Stegostoma tigrinum: one gene and its partner. The protein of the gene in region 1 binds, or shares a complex with, the protein of each later gene. Links are inferred from orthologs where the notes say so. Each region holds a gene or a part of one and is shown on either strand. Other genes may lie near its edges.

Evidence for each region.
Region 2: the proteins of obsl1a (region 1) and myom1b are in contact, whole or in part, in a crystal structure (PDB 5FM5), measured with the Homo sapiens proteins. The link is inferred for Stegostoma tigrinum from reciprocal best matches to the Homo sapiens genes OBSL1 and MYOM1. Residues at the interface, in NP_056126.1 of Homo sapiens: Pro243, Lys253, Phe255, Val257, Asn258, Gly260, Lys261, His262, Ala263, Lys264, Phe265, Arg266, Cys267, Tyr268, Val269, Met270, Gly271, Lys272, Pro273, Pro275, Trp279, Lys305, Tyr308, Tyr317, Cys319, Ala321, Arg322, Asn323, Ser324, Ala325; in NP_003794.3 of Homo sapiens: Arg616, Pro617, Ser618, Ala619, Pro620, Trp621, Thr622, Gly623, Gln624, Ile625, Ile626, Val627, Thr628, Glu629, Glu630, Glu631, Pro632.

The regions. Positions count from the first base shown.
Region 1 is NC_081360.1:102,224,014-102,235,746, forward strand, and holds the start of obsl1a (obscurin-like protein 1a), read left to right. Parts: upstream 1-6,795; 5' UTR 6,796-7,116; intron 7,117-10,778; exon of another isoform or gene 10,779-10,934; intron 10,935-11,733. Other genes in the region: inha (inhibin alpha chain), read right to left, coding at 333-1,057, 2,104-2,443. UniProt on the Homo sapiens protein: Core component of the 3M complex, a complex required to regulate microtubule dynamics and genome integrity. It is unclear how the 3M complex regulates microtubules, it could act by controlling the level of a microtubule stabilizer.
Region 2 is NC_081358.1:81,828,142-81,839,301, reverse strand, and holds the start of myom1b (M-protein, striated muscle), read left to right. Parts: upstream 1-6,902; 5' UTR 6,903-7,009; exon of another isoform or gene 7,010-7,040; intron 7,041-7,156; exon of another isoform or gene 7,157-7,364; intron 7,365-8,149; 5' UTR 8,150-8,202; coding exon 8,203-8,339; intron 8,340-11,160. UniProt on the Homo sapiens protein: Major component of the vertebrate myofibrillar M band. Binds myosin, titin, and light meromyosin. This binding is dose dependent.

The DNA of each region.
Region 1 (11,733 bases):
GTAAAGTGGAGTTGAGGATGATCTGGTCAGCCTGGCCCAATTGACTGGCAAAGCAGACTAGATAGGCTGAATGGCCTGATGTCTAGTTTCAGAATGGAAAGTGAATGGACTGTTGGCTATTTGATTAAATGTTTACCAACTATCCATCAAATATTCCTTTCTTTCCAAAACTCAAATATTTTCATAATTAATAAACAATGAATGCACTGATACAGCTTCTTTATTTATTTCATTACTGTCCCTTGGATTTGTCTTTTGGATTCTGATTAATTTTCAGTTCCTTGAGAGTCCAAGGCCACCCTATCATTATGCTGAGGGTGAGGAAGCAAAGTCTAAATGCAGGCACATTCTTCGGTGATAATGTTTGGGATAGTCTCGTATTTAAAAGTGTAGCCACTGTCGGACGTTGTCCTCACTCTCAGGGGCTTCATGGTCCCTGGGACTGAGGTGCAGCAAACCTTGAGGCCGAGGCTGGAGGTGAGCCGGTTGGAGTTGGAGCAGGTCCCATTGCAGTAGTAGAAGGTGAAGACACTGGGTTGAACAATCCAGTTGCCCCATCCCAATTCTTCAAAGGAGATGTTAACGGCAGAACGATGGCAATCGTCATGAATAAGTTCAGGAGATGGTGGCCTCTGAAGGAGACTGACATATGCGGGGGACCAAGGGACTGTTGAGCGTCTAGATCGAGAAGGACCCAAGTTCTTCGCTGTGGACAGGATGAAAGGCACATTCACTTGGTCCCTCACACACTGGCAATTGGCACACTTGACCTGAAGGAAAAGTATCTTGTGCGAGATATATGAGAGGAAGGACTGGGAGATATGAAAGATTACCCACTGTCCTTCAACTGCCATGCTCTCTGCTGCCTGGGCAAAGCTGCCAGGTTCAGTGAGGAAGTACAGTTTAGTGGGGGGGTCAGCACCTGGGGGTAACTGGACCCCGGCGTAAAACCAGAACTCAGCAGAGGTCACCTGGCTGCGACGGGAGTGCAGGGATGGCTGAAAGACGTAACTGTAATTGCCCACGAATCCTTCATACTGTAAATCACACGGTATGTCTGAAAATAAAAGTATGGGGGGGGAAGGGAAGATTGAGCGGAATGAGTTATAAAATAGCCAAAACTTGTGTAAAACCGAATGATTTGCATTCACTTGTTTTGCTTCCATGCTTGTTTATTGCAAATATCAAACATTGTTTGACAGTTCCCGTTCTCATTTGATTATGTCTTCAAAATAAACCACCCAACCACACACCCAAATTTTGTGCCACCTGCTTAATCCTATTATCTTAACCACATCTCGTGCTGTTTATGTGCGTATGGGCTCCCAGGTCAGTGGGTAACCCACTCACTTCTCACTCCAGCAGTGGTGGTCTTAAGATCCCGTTTAGAGACTGAGAATCTAGTCTGGCATTGGAGCACTGAGGGACTGCCACACTGTTTGGAGGCACTTTCTTTCAGATGATATGTCAAGCTTATCCACTTTCTAAGTGGAGGCCATAAAGGATTTCACAGCATCTGTTTCCAAGAAGAGCAGGGAGCAGTTCACACCAGTCTCCTGGGAAAATGTGTACTTAAACAGAAATGGACAACACCTGGAAATTATTACCCAGAAGGCATATGAGAGTCAATCATGTTGCTGTGGATGTGGAGTCAGATAGAGACCAGACGGAGTAAGGACAATAGATTTCGTTCACTAAAGGGAAGCGGTTGATGGGTTTTTAAACGGTACATAGTTTTCATTAGGCTATCTTCTCTCAACTGAATTCATATTTCACCATCTGCTATGGGATTTGACCCCTTTAGTTTGGGGTTCTGATTTACTAATGTCTGGTGACATTACATTATATCACTGCCTCCGTTCTATTATGATCACTACAAATTGGCTATCAGGTCATCGTTACACTGCTGTCTGTGGGAGCTTCCTGTAGAAATCGGATGTTGTACTGCATGTATTACGACACTTCAAAAAGTACTTAATTGGTTGAAAAGTACCTTAGGTATGGCTGACATTGTGAAACAGTGTGGCCAGGATTTATCATCCTGACATACAAAATGATACTATTTTTACGTATTTGTTTTATGAAAGCCAAAAGAAAGCTTACTGGTTATGGGGAATGAGATGACCTCCGATTTATCGTTGTCCGTTTTGGGTTTGTGATGTCCAATCCAGCGGGTGATGCGCCGTGTCAGTCTGCGGTTTTTGAACGGATTATGCAGCTCCTGGCTGGTTACATTGCAGTTCTCTGGGGGTTCAGTCAGCCCCAGGCTCCTCAGAATTTTCTCCTGCACCTTTGCAATGATTGCATCCTCACTCATGCTGTGCATTGAGCAGGCACTTTCCAGCATTGGGGCCTGGAACATCAGAATCAGTAGCACCATCCACAACAAGCTCAGGAATAAAGGGACACCAGGGAGTTTGTGGGAAGCATGAAGCTGGAACATTGGGACAGAGGGGGACAGAGTGAGGGGGAGAATGAATAAGATACGTACACAGAGTAGAAGATAAACACTAAACAAGATAACTAACTTGAAAGCGATTACGAGGGAGGTTCTAAGACAATGCAGGAATTTAATGATTCAGATACAGAATGATGAGGGTAAATGAGAGAATGGGATCCAATGACAGAGATAGAAACACAGATACAGTAAAAACAGGAATGCAGGAAGACCGAAAGAATAAAATCAAAGTGTTTGAGACAGATAGATTGTCAGACAGCTAGAGTGGAATTGAGTCAGTGTAACCGGGGAGGAAGACAAATGCACACTGACACAGACTCACACCACACACAGGCACAGAGACACATGCACAGATAAATGCACACGGACAGATATATACACACAGACACAGTCACCCACAGATACATGCACACAGATACACCCACATATAGAGACAAAAGGAGAGATGGACACAAACACAGTGGACAGAAAGAAAGAGCCAGCAATACAGAATATGAGACAAAACAAGATACTGATGCAAGAGGAGAATGTGAGTGAGAGGGACTGAGAGACTCAGACAGAGGATAAGACTGAAAGATTGAAACTGGCAAAAAGCAAAAGAGGCACAAAGGCACTGAAGAAAATGCAATACAAGCAACAGGCACTCAGAGGAACAGAGTTAACACAATAGGGTTAGTTAGAAAGAGAATACACCATTACAGACAGAGTCGAGGAGAGACTCAGTTCGACAAGGAGAGAATGATACTAATGTCCTTTTAGTGTGATCTTCAAAACTCCTACAATCCCAGCAGACACACCCTCAAATGCTTGCTTGGAGGGCAGGTCGAGCTGACAGACTTGCCATTCACCCTGATTGTGCTGATTGGTGACCTGCCCCCTGACCCTGCTGCTCTTTGTCTCTCTCTCTCTCTCTCTCTCTCTCTCTCTCTCTCTCTCTCTCTCTCCCCACTGAGCTCTTCAGTGTGAATGCGCAGAGTTGCCACTATCAGAACTCTGATAGTCTGGTGACATTGGGCACGGCCTCTAAGACTGTTGTTAGCTGAATGACGTGGGTCTCCTGATTTGAATTATCTTCTCACAGAAGCACAAAACTCTAGCTGTAGAATATCATATTTTGGCCTCAAACAGCAGCCAATGGCTGAAATTCAAAGAAAGACTGATCTCAGGGACAGGGAGAGGTCAAACCAAATCTTCACTGATGCGAAAACACCTCCAAAGGAGTTCTCAGGAGGGATGGGAAGCTGTGATTCTCTTTTAGCCATGGATCTGAAGCCTGTCAGAGTTTGACCATTCCCTCAGTATACAATGTGGAGATTGCAGTGTAGTGAGATTTAGCCCACATTGATACAACAACTACCTGCATTTCTGTAGTGCCTTTCATGACCTCAGTAAATCCCAAGGTGTTTTGCGGCTGCTCGCAGTATTTGTGAGTAGTCACTCTTGTAATGTGGGAAAGTTGGGGCCGCAATGTTGATTGAGGGATAAATATTGGCCAGGACACCAAGGAAAGCTCTCCTGCTTTTTAAAATTGGGACTTTTGTCATTCTTGATTGTGCAGCGATGTTCCAGTGATAATCAAAAGCCTGGTCAAATACTCTGGGATAAATTGGTTCAAACCCCACACTCAACTGGTAAACCCAATTCAAATTAAGCTTGAATTGAAATATAATCTCAGTAATGGTGTCTACAAAGCTATCATTGCAGTAAAAACCTATCTGGTTCATTAATGCCCTTTAGGCAAGGAACCCTCCGGCCTACATGTGACTCCTGATCCTATGGTGACATGGTGGCTTCAACTGACTTCTGAAGTGACCAAACAAGGGAATGGCAACTGATGTAACCGGTTCTTCCTCTCACCCATCCCTTCCTCCCACCCCAAGCCGCACCCCCAGCTACCTACTAACCTCATCCCACCTCTTTGACCTGTCCGTCTTCCCTGGACTGACCTATCCCCTCCCTACCTCCCCACCTACACCCTCTCCACCTATCTTCTTTACTCTCCATCTTCGGTCCGCCTCCCCCTCTCTCCCTATTTATTCCAGTTCCCTCCCCCCATCCCCCTCTCTGATGAAGGGTCTAGGCCCGAAACGTCAGCTTTTGTGCTCCTGAGATGCTGCTTGGCCTGCTGTGTTCATCCAGCCTCACATTTTATTATCCTTGCATGTAAAGCTGCATTTAAAATATGGCCTCATGTTATCTCCCAGAGGCTAGTGAATGCCTGAAATTCCCTATCCTAATGAACGGTGGAGAATTGATCAAGTAAAGTATTTGATGAGGAGGTAGACTGATTCTTGAAACATCAGGGAAGTGAGGGATATGAGGAGATGGCACAAAAGAGTAGTTGAGGCCGGGGCAGATCAGCTGTGATCTTGTTGAATGGGGAAAGAGGCTTGAGGCCTTGACCTATCTCTGTGGCTATTTCTTATGTCCTCCCGTTCAATTGGGCTTTTTAACCAGCATGAAATGTGATGCATCTCTTACTGCAGTGTGATCCTATAGGTAGCACACATTTTGGTCCCTGCACAGGCTGAGTTCTCCCCCAAAGAAACTGCTGTTGCCCGACTGGATATCGAGGCTGCAACATTAAAGAAATCTTTAGTAAGTGAGCAATGCCACAGAATGCCAAACGACATTTCCAGGGAACTAACGTCATGAGAGGGATCAGCACTTTGCTGATAAATGTCTTTATATATAGAGAGAACTGAACTCAATGTCATTCTCCAATCACTCGTTACTGTCACTCGGATTGCACCACATGCAGAGGGAACATTTCATCTAAATGCAGGGTCTCTCCCTGAGAGGTACCTCACTGCCAGTATTTAATGAGATGAGGGTTGGAGATACAAACCATCCACAGTGCAGAACAGCAGTGAGACTTGGGTAAGGTGTGTCAGACGTGGTGGAACTAGGAGAAAAAGCTTTGTATTTGTATAGCACATTAACATAACCTCAGTGCATCCGAAAACACCTTCTGGCCAATGATATGCAATCATTGTTGCAGGAAACATGCTAGTCCAATTTCTGCACAGCAACATTCCACAATCAACACAGTGCTAAATGCCTGTGGCACATAAATCCAAGCTGTGGCACTGGAGGGTCAGAGGCGGTATACCAGTCTGATACCCAGAATGCGCAGGTTGTCTTATGATAAAAGGTTGCAGAGGCTAGCTTTATTCCCACTGGCGTTCCGAAGAATTAGGAGTGACTTGATTGAGGTGTATCGGATCCTAAATGGTTATTACCAGGTGAACATGGAAAAGATGTTTCCTCTTGCTGGCCAGTCCAGAACTAGGGGGTTCTAATTAAAAATTAGGAGTCACCTTTTTAGCTCAGAGTCAAGGAGAATTTCTTTTCTTGGAGGGTTGTGTGACTTTAGAACTTGGGGTCAATTAATATTTTTAAGACCGAGATGAGTAGCTTTGTGTTTGGCAGTGGAATCAAAGGAGTGGATGGGAAGGAGGAATTTGAAACGAACAGTTCAATCACGATCTTATTGAATGATAAGCAGGTTCAAGGTGTGGAATGATCCATTTCTGCTCCTATGCTGTATGCCCGCTTGTAACATTTCTACCACAGTACAGAAAGAGTGCTGCACATAAGGCTTGCTCTCGCAGATGGCACTGCTCTAAAGAAAAGCAGGATAGTTGTCCCCAGTGTCCTAGCCAATAGTTATCCCTCAAATTCCAAAAAAGCTGCACAAATGCTCTGTCCATTACAATATTGCTCTGTCCAAACTGATCACAATATTCCTTACGTTTCAACAGTGACTGCACTTCAGGAGTACTTAAATCATTGTAAAGCACATTCAGACTTTCCAAAATAGTGATAGGTGCTATATAAATGCAAAGACCGCTTTCTTGCTCGAACTCGTAGGAGCAGTGTATGAGCCAAGTCCAATTAGCTCTTCCACACTTCTGTTCAGCTGCTTCGTATCAAATGACAAGGCAGTTTCAATCTTTCTAATTCTGTCGGCTGTCCCACCATCCCCCTCCACCATCCACTCTCACCCCCTCCCAGACATTGCTTGTCTAAGACAGCAGAGATCCTTCTGTAATGTCACTTAAACGTAGACACGTAACACCTCGTTGGCTTCAGCTAATTCTGAATCTCTGCCACAGCACAGATAAGGGTCTTCGAATTCCTGAACGGGATTTGCAGTCACTGATCCTCCTACTTAGTCTGCAGCCCCACACTCCCCCAACCAGTCAACTTTCTCTTGGCAGGCTGGCCAGTCAATGGATGGTGGCCTCCTTTGCTCCCTGCATCCCCCTCCCACTATGGTCTCAACCATCCACACACTGCCAACCACCAGTCCAGCTCCTATTGGTGTTGTCGGGTCATGATGGCAGGGGTTATTTTGGGAGAGGAGACAGCTGGATAAGCTCCTTCAAACAATGAGCTGCAGAGCAGAGCAGGAGGGAGTAAGAGACTGGAGCATGGTTGAGGGGAACGGGGGAGGGTAGTTGCACACGGAATTTAAAACAGTCTTGCTGCTGAAAGGGCCTCCCCTAAGGACGGTCCGCTGTTAACAATGAGACTCATGGAGACGACATCTTAATGAATAAGCTGCAAAGAGGAGTGTAGGGATCTCAGAGGAAGAAACACTTGACAGGCAAACTGCTTCCCATCCCTGCCCTGAATTCTCAGCTAACTGGCTGGTAAGTAAATGATCAAACCCATGCCATTCTGTGTTGTAAAAAGAAGTGGTTGTGAAGTGCTTTCAGAGTATTAACAATCTTAAAGAGATATCAGATCATGTCAAGAGTCTGTGTAATGGAATGCAGCAGGTTGGGCAGGGATCATATGATAGTATTAACTCCCAGTCAAGCCACATGTTGAGTGCTCTTAGAGGTTTTCTGTAGTCCACTCTGTCCTAATATAGCCTGGGATCTTCTCCGTCTCCTTATCCTCTGACAACCCCTCAGGTATGAGGGCGATTTGAAATTAATATATTCAAAAAAGTTTGTTTTTTTAAGAGGCAAAAATAGAAACTGCTGGAAAAGCTCAGCAGGTCTGGCAGCATCTGTAGACAGACAGCAGAGTTAACATTTCGGAAAGGATTGACCCTTCCTCAGAGGGGTTCCTGTGGAAGGGTCACTCGACCTGAAATGTTAAATCTGATTTCTCTCCACACCTGCTGAGCTTTTCCAGCAATTTCTATTTTTGTCTCTGATTTACAACATCTGCAGTTCTTTCAGTTTTGATATTTTTTAGATTTTAAAGGCAACAAGAGACATGGGGAAAAGGCATGAACATGGCTCCAAGGGCCACATGGCCTGCTCCTGCCCCTGGTTTGTATGTTTTTCTAGCTTGTTGCCAGCCAGGGTTCGATGGCTTTTGGAATGACTGAAATGACTGATGCTTGATCTGCAGCTTCTGCTGCATTTAGAAGGTTGGGTTGATGGGTGATTATGCGTTTATGCCGTTCCCTCTGACAGCTCATCTTCAGCTCTGCACCTTTCCAATGGAGTCTCCCAATGTCTTAGGCATCTTCCAGAGCAAACCTTCTCCCTTTTGGTTGTTCACAAGCTAGGGTATCCATGAGTCATCAGGGGATGTTTGATCTCTTCAGGGAGGCCTTGAATTGAGCAGTCTCATTTGGAATCTGGGGTCAGGCTCACGAGTAACATGTACTGCCCAGTGATGCTGGTTTTGAAAGACTGGCCTCTCAACGGCAGGAGTAGGTATTGATGTTAGTCATCCTTTCCTGTTCTTGGATTTGGAGGATCTTGTGCAGGTGACACTGCTGGGACCTCTTTAGTGATTCAATGTGTTCAGCGTAGGCTCTCCAATTCTGGAATATTATTAGTGCACAGACAGGGAAGGGTTCCATTCGTGTGTTTGTGGAATTTTCATGACAGTTATGATTCAGACTCTGAAACATCTGTTTCCAGGGAATAAAGTGACTCAATTGGATCAGATGTCAGTAGGCAGTATGTTTAGGACATTGAGGTCACAGTATAATAAGAGTTTGATTAAGCATAGAGAGGATCAAGACAAAATCAAGGGTAAAATACTTCACTGGAGTAAGGCCAATTTCAGAGAGTAGGGAATGGATCTGTCTTGAGTAAACTTGAATGAACGATGAGCATGCAGAACTGAAACTAGACACTGTGTTGCCTTTATACAGGAACCAGTTCAGGTGCAGGCCTGTAGCAATGTGGTTGACTCTTTAACTTCCCTTTGAAACAATCAATCAGGCACAAGTCAGGAGCGTGGAGGAATACTTTCCAGTTGCCTGACTTAGTGCAGCTCCAAAAACACTTAAGAAGCTTGATCCAGGACAAAGCAGCCTGCTTGATTGGCACTACATGCACACACATCCATTCCCTCCATCACAGATGTTCATAGCAGCAGTGTGCATAATTGACAAGATGCATTGCAGATATTCATCAAGGCTCTTCAGCCAACACCTTCCAAACTCATGTTCACTACTGTCTGGGAGGACCATCATCTGCAATTTCCCCTCTAAGTCACTCATAATCCTGACTAGGAAATATACTGCCATTCCTTCTAAACCCTGGAACTCCGTCTCGGCAGAACAAATACTGCAACGATTGGAGCAAGTAGCTCACTATCACCTTCTCAATAGTAATTACAGACTGGCCAGCCAGAAATTAGCACAGCCCACCATTTTTTTTTAAAAAAGCCTACTGAAGTCAACAGCAATTCTGAATTGACTGTATTTCTGCTTGACATGGAGAACATATGTGATAGAAAACAAGCAAGGTCATCCCCAAAGGAACCGATTTCTGTTTGGCAGTTTTTGAATAGATCCTTTTAGTGAAGCGGATCTCTGGGACTGCAGCAGAGACTGTGTTACCGTGTGCATTATACAATTGGAAAGAGAATGGAAGGGAGAAGTGACAGGGGTCTTTTGACTGCACAGAGGGCAGTCAGCAATGTCAATGTCTCTCGACTATTAAGCTAAAATCAGAAGCTAATTTTCTCAGGGTATAGGTTCAAACCCCACCATGGCAGATGGTGAAATGTGAATTCAATAAAAATCTGTAATTAAAAGCCTATTAGTGACTATATTGAAAAGAATCAATCAGCTTCATTACTTGTCCTTTAGGAAAGAAAATCTGCTGTCCTTACATGCACTTTTTAGAGTCATACGGCATGCAAACAGACCCATTGGTTCAACCAGTCCATGCAGAGCATAATACCAAACTAAACTAGTCCTGCATGTCTGCTCCTGGCCCATATCCCTCCCAATATTTCCTATGCACATACTTATCCAAATGTCTTTTAAACATTGTAATTGAACCCTCATCCATCACTTACTCAGAAATTCATCCCACACATAAACCATCCTCTGCATTAAACATTTGCCCCTCATGTCTCTTTTAAATCTCTCTCCTCTCACCTTAAAAATGTGTCCCTTTGTCTTGAAATTCCACATCCTGGGAAAAGACAACTAACATTAACCTTATCTGGACAACTTACTTTTTTTTTATAAACTTCTAGAAGGTCACTTCTCAAATCGTAGAATCCCTACTGTGTGGAAACAGGCCACTCCCCTACCACCACTTAACAGCTTCCCATCCAGACCCATTCCCCTACCTCTGCATTTTCCCATGTCTACCCACTTAACCCAAACATCCCTGGACACTACAGCATAGCCAATCCACCTACCCTGCGCATCTTTGAACTGTGGGAGGAAGCCAGAAGGACACCCATGCAGACACAGGGAGTATGTGCAAACTCCACACAGACAGTCATTTGATGGTGGAATTGAACCCAGGTCCCTGGTACTGTGAGGCAGCAGTGCTCACCACTGAGCCACCGTGCCGCCAACCTCCTAGGGCCCAGGCTATCCAGCCTTTCTTTATAACTCATACCTGGCAATATTTTGGAAGATCTCTTTTGAGCCCTCTCTAGCTTAATAATATTCTTCCTATAACTAGGCGACCAGAACTGGACACAGTGTTCCAGAAGAAGCTGTACAACCTCAACATGACTTCCCAAAACCTATTTTCAGAGGACTGAACAATGAAGGCAAGCATGCACTAGGCCCGAAACATCAGCTTTCCTGCTCCTAAGATGCTGCTTGGCCTGCTGTGTTCATCCAGCTGTACACCTGGTTATCTTGCATGCTAAACACCTTTTTGACCACCCTGTCTATATCTGATGCAAACTTCAAAGAATTATGTACCTGAACCCCTGGGTCCCTCTTTTCTACTTGGTCTGATCTATACGTGACTGCAGAAACACAGCAATGTGGTTGACTTTTACTTTTAATGGTCAATAAATGCTGGCCTAGCTACACCGCAGAAATGAATTAAAAATACAATTCTTGCTGTTTCAATCTTTCCAGAGGCCATCAAGCCACTTAAAGGGACAGGAAAAGAATTTGAGGATTCTGTGACCGTCAGTACTTGCACAGACTAAATGAGAAAAGGTTTGTGCCTGCGCATCATTACAGTATTAATCATGTCCGGGAACTTAAGATGAACAATGGCTGCTGCTAAAGGTGATTTAAGGGCCAATTCTTTGAGTGGGAAATAAGAGGCCATTCAACCCATCGTGCCTGCACAGGTCCTATTACCTACTGCCAATCTTCCACCTCTTCCCCAGATTGCAACACCATTTCTATTCAAATAATCATCCGAAGCCCCTCTCGAATGCTTCAGTTGAAGCTGTCTCCACCACATTTCCAGGTCATGCATTCCAGACCCTAACTACTTGCTGTGTGAGAAAGTCTTTTCTCATATAACCCTTGCTTCATTTGCACATCACTTTGAATCTATGCTTTCTCATTCCTGTTCCTCTTCTGAGTAGCAGCAACTCTCCCTAACAACTCCGTCCAGTCCATTCACGATTTTGAAAACCTCGATCAGATCTTCTCTCAGCTTTCTTCTCTCCAAGGAGAACGAACCTAATTACTTCAATCTCTCCTGATTGACAGCCCTGTGATAGTATCGCAAGGCTATTAATCCAGAGACCCAGGAAACCTTCTGGGAACAGGGTTCAAATCCCAACGTGGTAGATGCTGGAATTTGAATTCAATAATAATCTAGAATTAAGAGTTTAATGATGGTCATGAAACCATTGGTGATTTTCAGGAAAAACCATCTGGTTCACTAATGCCCTTTAGGGAAGAAATCTGCCATCCTCATCTGGTCTGGTTTGCATGTGACACCAGACCCACAGCCAAAGTGGCTAACTCTCAACTCAATTAGGGATGGGCAATGAATGCTAGTCCACCCAGAAATGACTACATCTCATTAAAGAATAAAAAAAATTACTGAAATTGCTCATTCCTGTCACTA
Region 2 (11,160 bases), on another chromosome or scaffold:
CTGGACAACATGCAGACTTGGTGACATATGCCTTTTGATGGTATTAACATTACCAAATCTCACACCATCAATACAATGGGAATTTCCATTGACCAAAAACTGAACTGGACTAGCTATATGGCCCATTATACTATGGCTACAAGGGCAGATCTATGGTTAATAACTCACTTGTTGCCCCTCCAGTAAGGAACAAGCAGGAATGTGATGGAATACTCTCCATTTGACTTGATCAGTGCAGCTCCCAACAACACTTAAGAAGCTTGGCATCATCCAGGACGTAGCAACCCTCCTGATTGGCACCTCATCACTACCAGCAACATTCATCCCCTTCACCAGCATTGCACAGTGGCAGCACCATCTCCAAGGTACTTCAGAAACTCACCAAGGCTACTTTGACAGTACCGTCTTTCAGCCATAAGAATAAAGGAACATCAGCATCTGCTCCCTCCCAAGTCACACAGCATTCTGCCTTAGAACTGTATTGCTATTCCTTCATCGCTGCTGGGTCAATGTTCTGGAATTTCCTTCTTAACATCATTGTAGATATTTCTTGACATCAAGGACAGCAGCAGATTGAGAAAGCCACTCACCACCACTTTTTCCAGGGCAATTAGGAATGGGAATAAATGTTGGCTAGAGGCTCTGACATCACATGAACAATTTTTTGAAATTGTCAAAGATCTTACAATCTCTTTACTATTCTAGACAATGTTGCTGTCATAGTCTATATTTGTTTATTTTGTGAACTTTTCCATTGATTTCTAAAACACTCCCAATTCTTGGAATTACAACTATTCTTTCAAGCCTTTTAAGCCTCTGCACCTAATGCTGGCGCTAACTTAATAAGGCACAGATAGCTGTTTGTTGACAGGTTTTTGATTTTCAATGGAATGCATTTGGTTTAACAATTTGAATTATTGCTTTGAATGTTTCCCCTGTTCATCTACTGCAATACTTTTAAGGCTACTTACCAATAAATCAGATCCAGTAATTTATGTAATTTAAGGCCATTGTTTGTAAATGAAGATGTTCAAGCTAAATGTGTTGCACAATGAGCACCTTTTTCCAGTGGATCTTTGACTTTAGTATTAATATTTAATTCCGCCTCATTGCACAATACTAGACCGAAAATAGCTTTATCCCTAATTGATTCCACAACACATTTCTCCAGGTTCTTTGTAACAAATATATACCAGCTCCTCTCACAAATCACTTTTTTTACCAATTTGAAGATTATGAAGATTAAAGTCCCCCATAACTATTTCACTGCCTTTGTCACAAACTCCAAACATTTCTTGTTTCAATGCTCTGTTCAGTGGTCCAACTCTTGCCTGAGACTTCTAAACTAATCCCACCAATCTGTTCCTAATCTTCAACTATTTTGATTCTATGTCCTGGTTTTCTGTGGCAGATCCTTTCTTATCAATGTATCATCCATTGCTGGTCAGGCTATTATTCCTCCTTATCCATTCTGATTGTCTTTCCAAACTGTATATACTAAAATATTTATTTCCCAATCTCTTAGATTTTAACTATATCTCTATAATAGTGATTGGGTCTATATTGTTTATTTCTAAGTCTGACACTAGTTCATCAATCTTATTGCTCCATGTATTCAGATGAAGTGACTTCACTTTTATTCTAATTTCTATTCCATGCATTCATCTCACTCCTTGATGCCTATTATCTCGAAAGTCTCTGTCCTGTCTGATACTTAAGTTTGCACACTCACCTTTTCTATTGCACTGAGATTTCCATTACCCATAGCACTACGCTTCACTACTGCTATCTTCATTTTAGATTAAAATCGTCAGAGGTGACTTAACTGGAACATAGAAGATCCCGAGGGGACTAGACCAAGTGTTTGTCGAAATAATGGTTCCTCTTGTGGGAGAATATAGAGCTAGCAGTCATAGTTTAAAAATAAGTGGTCACCCATTTAAAACAGAGATATCGAAACGTTTTTCGCTTAGAGGGTTGAGAGTCTTTGGAATTCCCTTTTCGAAAAGGAGTAAAATGTAGAACCTTGAAATATTTTTAAGGCAGAGGTAGACCAATTCTCGATTACCAAGAGGATGAAAGATTATCCTGGACATATAGGAATGTTGAGTTGAGGTTAAAATCAGATCAACTGAGTGACCTACTCTTTTGCCTCGCTCATATCTTGGTATTCTTTATTCTTTTCCTGCACTGGATTCATACATATGAAAACAACCTCAATTACTATGATGTTCAAGAAAACTTTTCAACACCCTACAGAAAACAATGACTTGATTGTTGTCCTGTCTGGTCATGTGCTTGTGAAACAGAACAGAATTTGGAACAACACTTGTATGATCTAATTTCCCCTCAAATAAAGAACATTGTAGCATTTCTAAAAGATAAAAAAAAATGTAGTGTCTTCAAAGCTGTACCAATAAATACACAGACAACAATGGTAAAGGATAGAATTTGCATTTCCTTTTCCTTCAAATGTCCTAAAGCAATAGTATTGTGAAAAATCAAGAATAAACATACTCACACATAGCAATGCCTGCATGCTAGAATTTGCCTGTTACGTTTAAAACGTACAAGAAAGTTTTACATTTGTATTTTAAGAAAGAACAGTTATTGGCTTAAAAGTAAGACTTTTTATTTTTAAAGAGTTTTAAAATGAACTTACGAAAGTATTCAGAAAGGAGTGTAATCTATAATTAAGATATCGACCTCCGACTGCCTCCTGCTAATAATACTTCAATGAATTCTTTGCAAACTCCAGTTGTTGCTTCTCATTTCTGTTTGCACCACAGCCATCCTTTGTGTCTGCAAATAAACATTCCAAAGTTAAAACATGCTCTCATCATGCAGAGGTATTTAAAAGATTAATAGATGAATGGAAATTATAAATTCATTCTATTTACAGTCAACTGGCTGGGTATGAATTGCAGATGGGGATAACTGTATGTGTATGCACACAAAACAATAATATGATGAAGCAACTCCGATGTTGCAAAAATGGATAAGGAATGATTTAGTGTGATTTATATTCGCCAATCAAAATTCTACAAACTCAGCTTCCATATCACACTAATCATTTTGATTGATCCAATCTATTTGAATATTAAAATCTCTGACAGTTGTTACATTGCAAAATAAAAACCAAAAGAACTGCAGATGCTTTAAATCAAAAATGGGCATTGCTGGAAAAGCTCACCAGGTCTGGCAGCATCTGTGAAGAGAAATCAGAGTTAACGTTTTGGGTCCGGTGACCCCTCCTCAGAACTAGTTTTGAAACGTTAACTCTAAATTCTCTTCAGAGATGCTGCTACACCTGCTGAGCTTTTCCAGCCTCTGTTACATTGTCTTTGCTACAAGTTCTAATAATTTCTTAGCTTTGATTTTCTATCCAATGGTATAACTACTGTTTTGAGGTCTCTTGTGATATAGTGATGGTGTCCTTATCACTGGGCCTAAAGTCCCAGTTTCAAGTCTCACCTGCTACAGAGACATGACATAGCATCTCTGAACAGGCTGATCAAAGTATCTATAACAACTATTAGGGATCAATAAATTACTGTTACATTTGTTATATCTAATTTCGATCAATTCTGATTCTACTTTGTGATTTTCTAAGCTAAAACTTTTTCTTACAAAAGTCCAAATGCCATCCTTTGTTATCAGGGTTTTTAGCAATTCAAAGAATCCAATCAATATAAAACTCCTTGTATAGTAATGATCATCAGCCATTTGGAAAATATCATGAAAATATTTGATTACCAGTCAAACTAAATTGTCATTTGGCAGTACAGAATTTAAATATTTTTGTATAAAAGACATATTTAATTGAAACTTTGTGTTTTGCACTCATCATGAAAATTCAAAGAAATATCAGTTACGTGATAAAGCAGGAAATCATTTCCTACATGAAAGGAGAATGTTCATTTGTGGGCAAGCAAAATCTGTTTGCTAGAAGTGTTACCATAGAGAATATAGAAAATAAGGATGACTAACATCTAACTGTCAGGCTTTGTTTAAATTTTCAAGCAGATTGACCCTGATTGGTGATGGCATTTTCCTGAGAAATGAGCCCAAGACTGTCACCTATTTATTGAGATGAAACAGACACCATGTGGGCATATGTTCATTCTATCTGCAAAGAACGGAGTCCTGCATATTAACATATGGATATAAACCAAAAGAACTGTGGATGCTGTAAGTCAGGAACAAAAATAAATTTACTGGAAAAGGTCAGCAGGTCTGGCAGCATCTGTAAAGGAAAAAACAGAATCAACATTTCGAGTCTGGTGACCCTTTCTCAGAATGGGCTAACAATTTAACATATGGAGTTTCCAGTACACACAAATGTACCATACACAGCCTGACTGACAATCTTAAATTGATTGTCAACATAATTCTTCACACACTCAAGGATTATTTAGCAATGATCATTGTATTGTGAGTTTTTTAGCATGAGCTAGCTGGGTACAGTCAGCACTTTGCTTGTGGTGAATACCTGTCAGTATATTCCGTTTGATATGTTTCACTAATCCTTGGAATGCATAGCAGCACTGAAATCCATATACCACGTTATTGATTTATAAAATCATTGAATCCCTACAGTGTGGAAACAGGCCCTTCAGCCCAACGAGCTCACACTGACCCTGAGACATCCCACCCAGACCCATCCCCTTATAACCCACCCAAACTACCCTTCTCTGAACACTATAGGAAATTTAGCATGGCCAGTCTACCTACCCTGCACATCTTTGGGCTGTGGGAAGAAACCAGAGCACCCAGAGAAAACCCATGCAGACACTAAGAGAATGTGCAAACTCCATACAGACAGTCGCCCAAGGGTGGAATTGAACCCAGGCTCCTGGCACTGTGAGGCAGTGATAATCACTGAGCTACCATGTATGACAGGAGGACAGATTTTTGACTTGATAACAGCATCTTCTGAACACCACCCATGTTGTTCCAGTATAATACCTGCATGAAACATTTAGCTTCACCAGTTGCTTCACCACCTTTAGATTCCCTACCCGTCTCAGGTAATGTAATTTAGATTGTGTACTTTTTAGGACTAACAATCTTAGAGTGTTCTATGAATTTACATGATATACAGTGAGAAGTGATCTGATCATTGTAGCCATTATTCTGCAGGATAACTTTAATCTTCCTTATTTCAGTACCAAGCATTCATGGTGAAAAAGTAGCTTTAGCATTACTTGCAAGATCGTTAATAATTCCAAAATTATGAAGTGTGAAACTATAGGGATCCCAACTTCTTTACTTGTCTTGGGAGATCAAGAAACCACAAGTCTTCTATATACAGATATGTTAGCACTGTCAGAAATGAGTTAACATCCTCTGAACAGTAAATGAGGACTTTGAAGTCATACCAGAAATTTATTCCAGATGTTGCCATTGTTTGCAAAAAGCAGTTTCTATGTTTTTGTAACATTGCCTGGAGTACACTCTTCTTACCAACTGAAATGGTTCGAATCCTCTTGGTTCAACACAAATACTTCTGTTATTTCATTGAACTCAATCATATCTCCACAAAGTCAGCATTTGGCAAAATAAAAACTCACAGCCATCTCAACCTATAGCAACAACTGATGGGCCTTAATATTGATAATAATCTTGTGCCTATTCTGTAACCTGCAGGCAGTGTGGCAACCAAATTGTATTGATTCAACGAGCCAATTTTTGGTGCCAATGGGTTCAAGAACATGGATTGGGAAATAAGATTGAAGGAAAGTTAGCATTCTAAGAGAAAGTGATAATGGGAACTGCAGATGCTGGAGAATCCAAGATAACAAAGCATGAAGCTGGATGAACACAGCAGGCCAAGCAGCATCTCAGGAGCAGAAAAGCTGATGTTTCGGGCCTAGACCCTTCATCAGGTTCTAAGAGAAAGATGTGTCTAGTGCACCTCTTGAGATGAGAAATAATGGTGGGATTTAAGGGAAGCAAAATAGTATAAAGGAGTCATCAATGATCTTGGTAGTAATTGGACAAAGAGAATGACTGAGTATTCAGGTGAATCTCATGGCAGAATTGAACTCAATAGAGATGGCTTGGGAAGTGATAACATGGAAATAGATTCTAATAAAACAACAGATTTTCTGGAAAGTCTCCATTTTTTTTCTGGTGAAGAAGGACCACTGGCTAATTCCAATTCAATATATTGATGGCTCTTCATTCCCTGGGTCAAAAGGCTGGTACTCCCTCCCTGAAAGGATTGTGGATCTAACTACAATGGGCAATTTTTCAAGAAGGCAACTAATCACTACCTTCTCAAGGGCAATTAAGGATGGATAATATTTGTTGGTCATGCATGTACACAATATACACTGCAAATGAAGAAAATAATCTGCACAAGTGAGGTGGAGCTGCCAATTATAGAAATTACACTAGGAATGATCATTGGCTTAAATAACAACAAGATGGTACAAACGTTTGTATAACACATCATATCTAGTCAAGAGAGTGATAAGAAAAAGACAATAACAATACAGGCAAACTTGAAGAAGACAGTGCTTGGAGTATCACCTCCCAGCTCACTATTATTGAAAGTTTCATTTCTAAAGTACACAATTAATTATTGTAAATGCTTTACGCCAGGGAGCTGTAGGTAAAACAAGTTGAGCCAGAAAGGTTTTTTGTTTAATAATCTACTAATCGTGCATTTCCAATTTTAAAATTAATGCGTACAGTTGCTTGTGCAATTCACCGCTTGTTGCTTGCCTGTTGTGTTCGTACCATTGTTCCCCTCACAGGTGCTTTCTTCACTGTGGGTTTATTTACGGTCCATTCGGCAATGTATGGAGTCATCTCTATACATTTCAAACCACACCTCCGCAAATATATATGTATATGTATGTAGATATATGTAATCACTAAGGTCCAGCTCCCAACTGTCAATCCCGTGATAGGTACAGAGGGTGTCCAATATGAGTGAAATATATCAGATTTAAGAAGCGACGGGATAAAACAGCTCAGCGACTTGGAACTTTGAACTCAGGTACTTAAAAATCTGATGTCAACTGCATCCGAAAGTCTTTTACCTGTAGTTGAATTACTAACAGTTGGTGATTACTAACTTCGCTTGCTCCGAGTGCTATATTTATCAATCCTCCTGGCCATAAAAGGTCGGGACTCTGGCTTCGACATTCCACTGACGGGATACATTATTTTTGTACTGAACCCTGGAGCCGAGTCTGCAGCCTTCTCCCTCCCACTGCCTCCCTCGATTCAATATACAGAGCCTTATCGCCTGCATTTCACCAAAACTCACAAGAAACATTTGACATTTGGTAAGGGCTCGGTGTTCGTGCATCCGTTTAGCAATAACGTGCGGTGTTCCCGAGATTTAAATGGTAATTTGATTTATTAAGTGGGGTCCAGTCAGCAGCTGATCGCTGCAGTTCTAAATGTACTTTCAGCGCGGAGACATGTCAGAAAAAATGTGGTAGTGATCGTTAATCAGGGTCAAAGTCTTTGCACAAGAACAAGTCTAAAAATGAGAATGAACTAAGAATTTTTTTTCACACGAAGAGAATCCAATTGGCTGCAATTATGTCAGAATATTTTTCGTGGTGTTTTTGAAATAGGAAAAAAAGAGAATGAGATGTTTAATGCAATGAAGTCGGAGCAGCTAAGGAACGTGTTATCTGTAATTGTAACATTGTGATTATTGTAAGGGATTATCAGCACGACATCGGGTCACTTAAAATCATTAAGGGGTAATTCAAATAGATCCCATTTTATTTCACACAAAGGTTTGCATATATACTAAAACATTTTGAAATATGCCACGGATTTTAATACCTCGGTATTTATTATAATTTATCGTTCTTATTAATGTATTATGCAAACGCAATCTTGCACATTGTTGGTTACTTTATATGTCTTTGAAACATTAGCTGCGGAGTTTTGAATGCTCTTTGCTTCGGCCATTCATGGATCAGACCAGAAAAGGACAGGAAGCAGACCAGGCTGGGCGACGGAGACTGCCCGTCCCCTATATTTTCGAATTAGCACAGTTCTCACTCTTTACAGGAGCTGGCTTCACTCATTATTGTTTGATCAATTTTCAGATTAATGGAACAACTTTTTTCCTTATTCTCTGTCCCTGACTGTGCCTTTATTTGTCTATGAATAGATCTGAAGACTTCGTACAGGCGATCCGGAACAGTTTGGATTTTACGGCCCACAATGTCTTCGCTGTCTTTACCTTTCTATCAGAAATACCACCGGCACTATGACCGCGGTTATCGCAATACACAGCTGTCCTCCACTATGCAAGAGTACCGCCAAGAGGAAAAGCGCAGTACTGCAGCTCATACCCACAGGTATCATTCACCGTTGCGGTGCTGTACTGCAACCCCAACGCAACTTGGCTGCCCACATTTCACAAACTGAAGGCAGTTTATGTATCAGTGTCATTGTGAGCAAAGTCATAGGATTCCGACAGTGTGAGGGCAGCCCATTAGGCCTATACAACCCTCTGAAAATCATCCCAGTCAGACCCAGTCTATCCTTGTAACCCTGCATTTCCCCCATCTGGTTTGCACACCCCTGAACACCATGGGCAATTTAGCATGGCCAATCCACCTAGCCTGCACATCTTCGGACTGTGGGGGGAAAGCGGAATGCCAGGAGGAAACCCACGCAGACATGGGGACAATGTCAAGTTCTCACAACTATCATTCTTCATAAATTTACGTCTACAGTTCAGCAGTCTATTAAATGTATCATTGTCTGATTTTTTTTTTATTACCAAACTACTAAAGTGTCTATCCTGAGGTTTAATCTAAATTACTAAACTCTGAGAACTGTGGCATAATATACAAAACATTTATCAATAGTCGAAGGTGAACTTTTATAGTATATTCACTATACTTAATAGACAGTCCTTTAGAAAGCAGTTAATTAATACAATTGTCTGTTAATGAAAATTAAACTACCTGAATTGTTGAAATGTTGCTGTCTGATATACATATTATATATATATTGCTTGCATTCTTACAATCAACACCATTGGACAGATTGGATTTTGAATTTATGTTCCAAATTTTTTTAAGTGCTGGAAATCTGAAAGAAAAATACAAAATGTTTGGAATACTCAAGGGCTTCTCAGGACTTGGAAAGCAAAGAGCAAGCCAAACATTTGCACAGCTGACTCTCCTTGCACTAAGTTACAGTTCTGAATTACTCTATTTTTCAGACGCTGAAAAGCTGTACTGCATATTTTTCCTTGTTGTTTTGCTTTGAACTTCTGTTGTGATTCTTTCTTTGTCTGGATTTCTATCATGCAGTGGGTTATTATTCTGTTTAAGTTGAGATCATGATATGCATGCAGCTCTAACATGCATTCTAGATTTTGTCAGTCACGAGAGACTGATGTGGTCTGTTGAAGGTACCCTAGGATCACTCATGGTCAACTTTACCTTCTCAATAGTTGTAGTCTCTTGTCTGCTTGGTTGACTGCCATAAGGAGAAGGAAAATGCAAACTAGCTCAAGTCAGCAAGAGCATGCACCATTTACCCTCCCCAAGGCAAACTTCAAATACATTTACAGAACCTTTAGATAGTACTGGTAATGCATAAACGCTATTTGGAATAAGGCATGCAACTGAATTAACATAAGAGGATCTGCAGTGGGCCCTAAAAATGCATGTGCATGAGGGTGGGGATTATTGTAAACAAGGATGTTTCACTACAGGTGCAGATATCTGTGTGACAATATGATATAATGATGGAGATTTGACTCCAAAAAAGTGAATTTAAATATTCCTGGATGCAACATATTTAGGAAAATAGGAATAAAAGAAAGGAAGAGGCCTGTCAATATTGATTTAAGGAGAATTTGTTCAGGTGATGTCGATGTTGCAAGCCAGACCAGCATTTACTGCACATTCCTAATTGCCTAGAGGATAGTTAGAGTCAAATACATTGCTGTGGGTCTGGGATCAGATGTAGGCCAGACCAAGTAAGACTGGTAGATTTCCATCCCTAAACAACAATTAATAGAGGTTACATGGTTGACATTAGGTCAGCATTTTATTCTAGATTTTAATTCAATCCAGATTTCAGTCTGCCTTGGTGGGATTTGAACCCCCTAACCCTGGCAATATTAGCCTGGGGCTCTGGATTACCAGTCAACTACATGTTACCACAACATGATTGCTCGAGAGAGAGGATATACCAGAGGGGTCAGGAATACAATTTATTCAGCTCAAGTTCAGGAACAGTAGACATACCAGAACACTGCAGGATGTATTCTGTAAGCCAGAAATTAGTGGTAAAGATTGACATGAAAACCCTTAGCAAGTAAATTTTAGTGTGTTGCAAAATGAGGACCTGGCAAGATTGTAGTGTAGAGACAATGCTACTGGGCAAGTAATCCAGAGTTCAAACTAATGTCTTGGAGACATGGGCTGAGGCCATGCGTTCAAACCCCACCATGACAGGTGATGAAATTAAAATTTAACTTTTAAATCTGGAAGCCTTGGTAATGGTGACCATGACAACAATCACTGATAGTTTTAAATAAAACTATTTGGTGCCCCAAACCCCTTTAAATGAAGGAAATCTATCAACTTCATCTGGTCTAAATGCGACTCCAGAATCACGTCAGGATTGACTCTTGACTGCCATGTGAAAGGGGCTTGCAAGCCATTCAGTTCAAGGGCAACTGGAGATGGTCAAAAGATGTTGGCATTGTTCGTGATGTCACCATGCTATGGAAAAAAAACCTTTGCAGTCGTTAAAATGGAACTTTAATTTTCCTAAGTTAGTACTGATTGGGGTAGTAACAATATGAATAAGACCACAAGAAATAGGAACAGGAGAAGGCTTTTCAGCACCTCAAGCCTGTCCACCATTCAATAAGATTCTGGCTGATCTGACACTCCTCACTTCCCTGCCCTTTCTCCCGACTGCTTCAATGGCAAAAAATGGAAATATATCTGAAGTGTGTTTGGAAGAATTTTATAGATTAGTATGTTTCTAGCCCAGCTGGAGGGGAAAGATTGCTGGCTTTGGTTCCATGGAATAAGATAGATAAAATGCAGAAGTCACATGACATCAGGTTATCGTCCAACAGGTTTGTTTGAAATTACAAGTTTTTGGAGTGCTGCCCCTTCGTCAGGTGAAGTATGATACTTCATA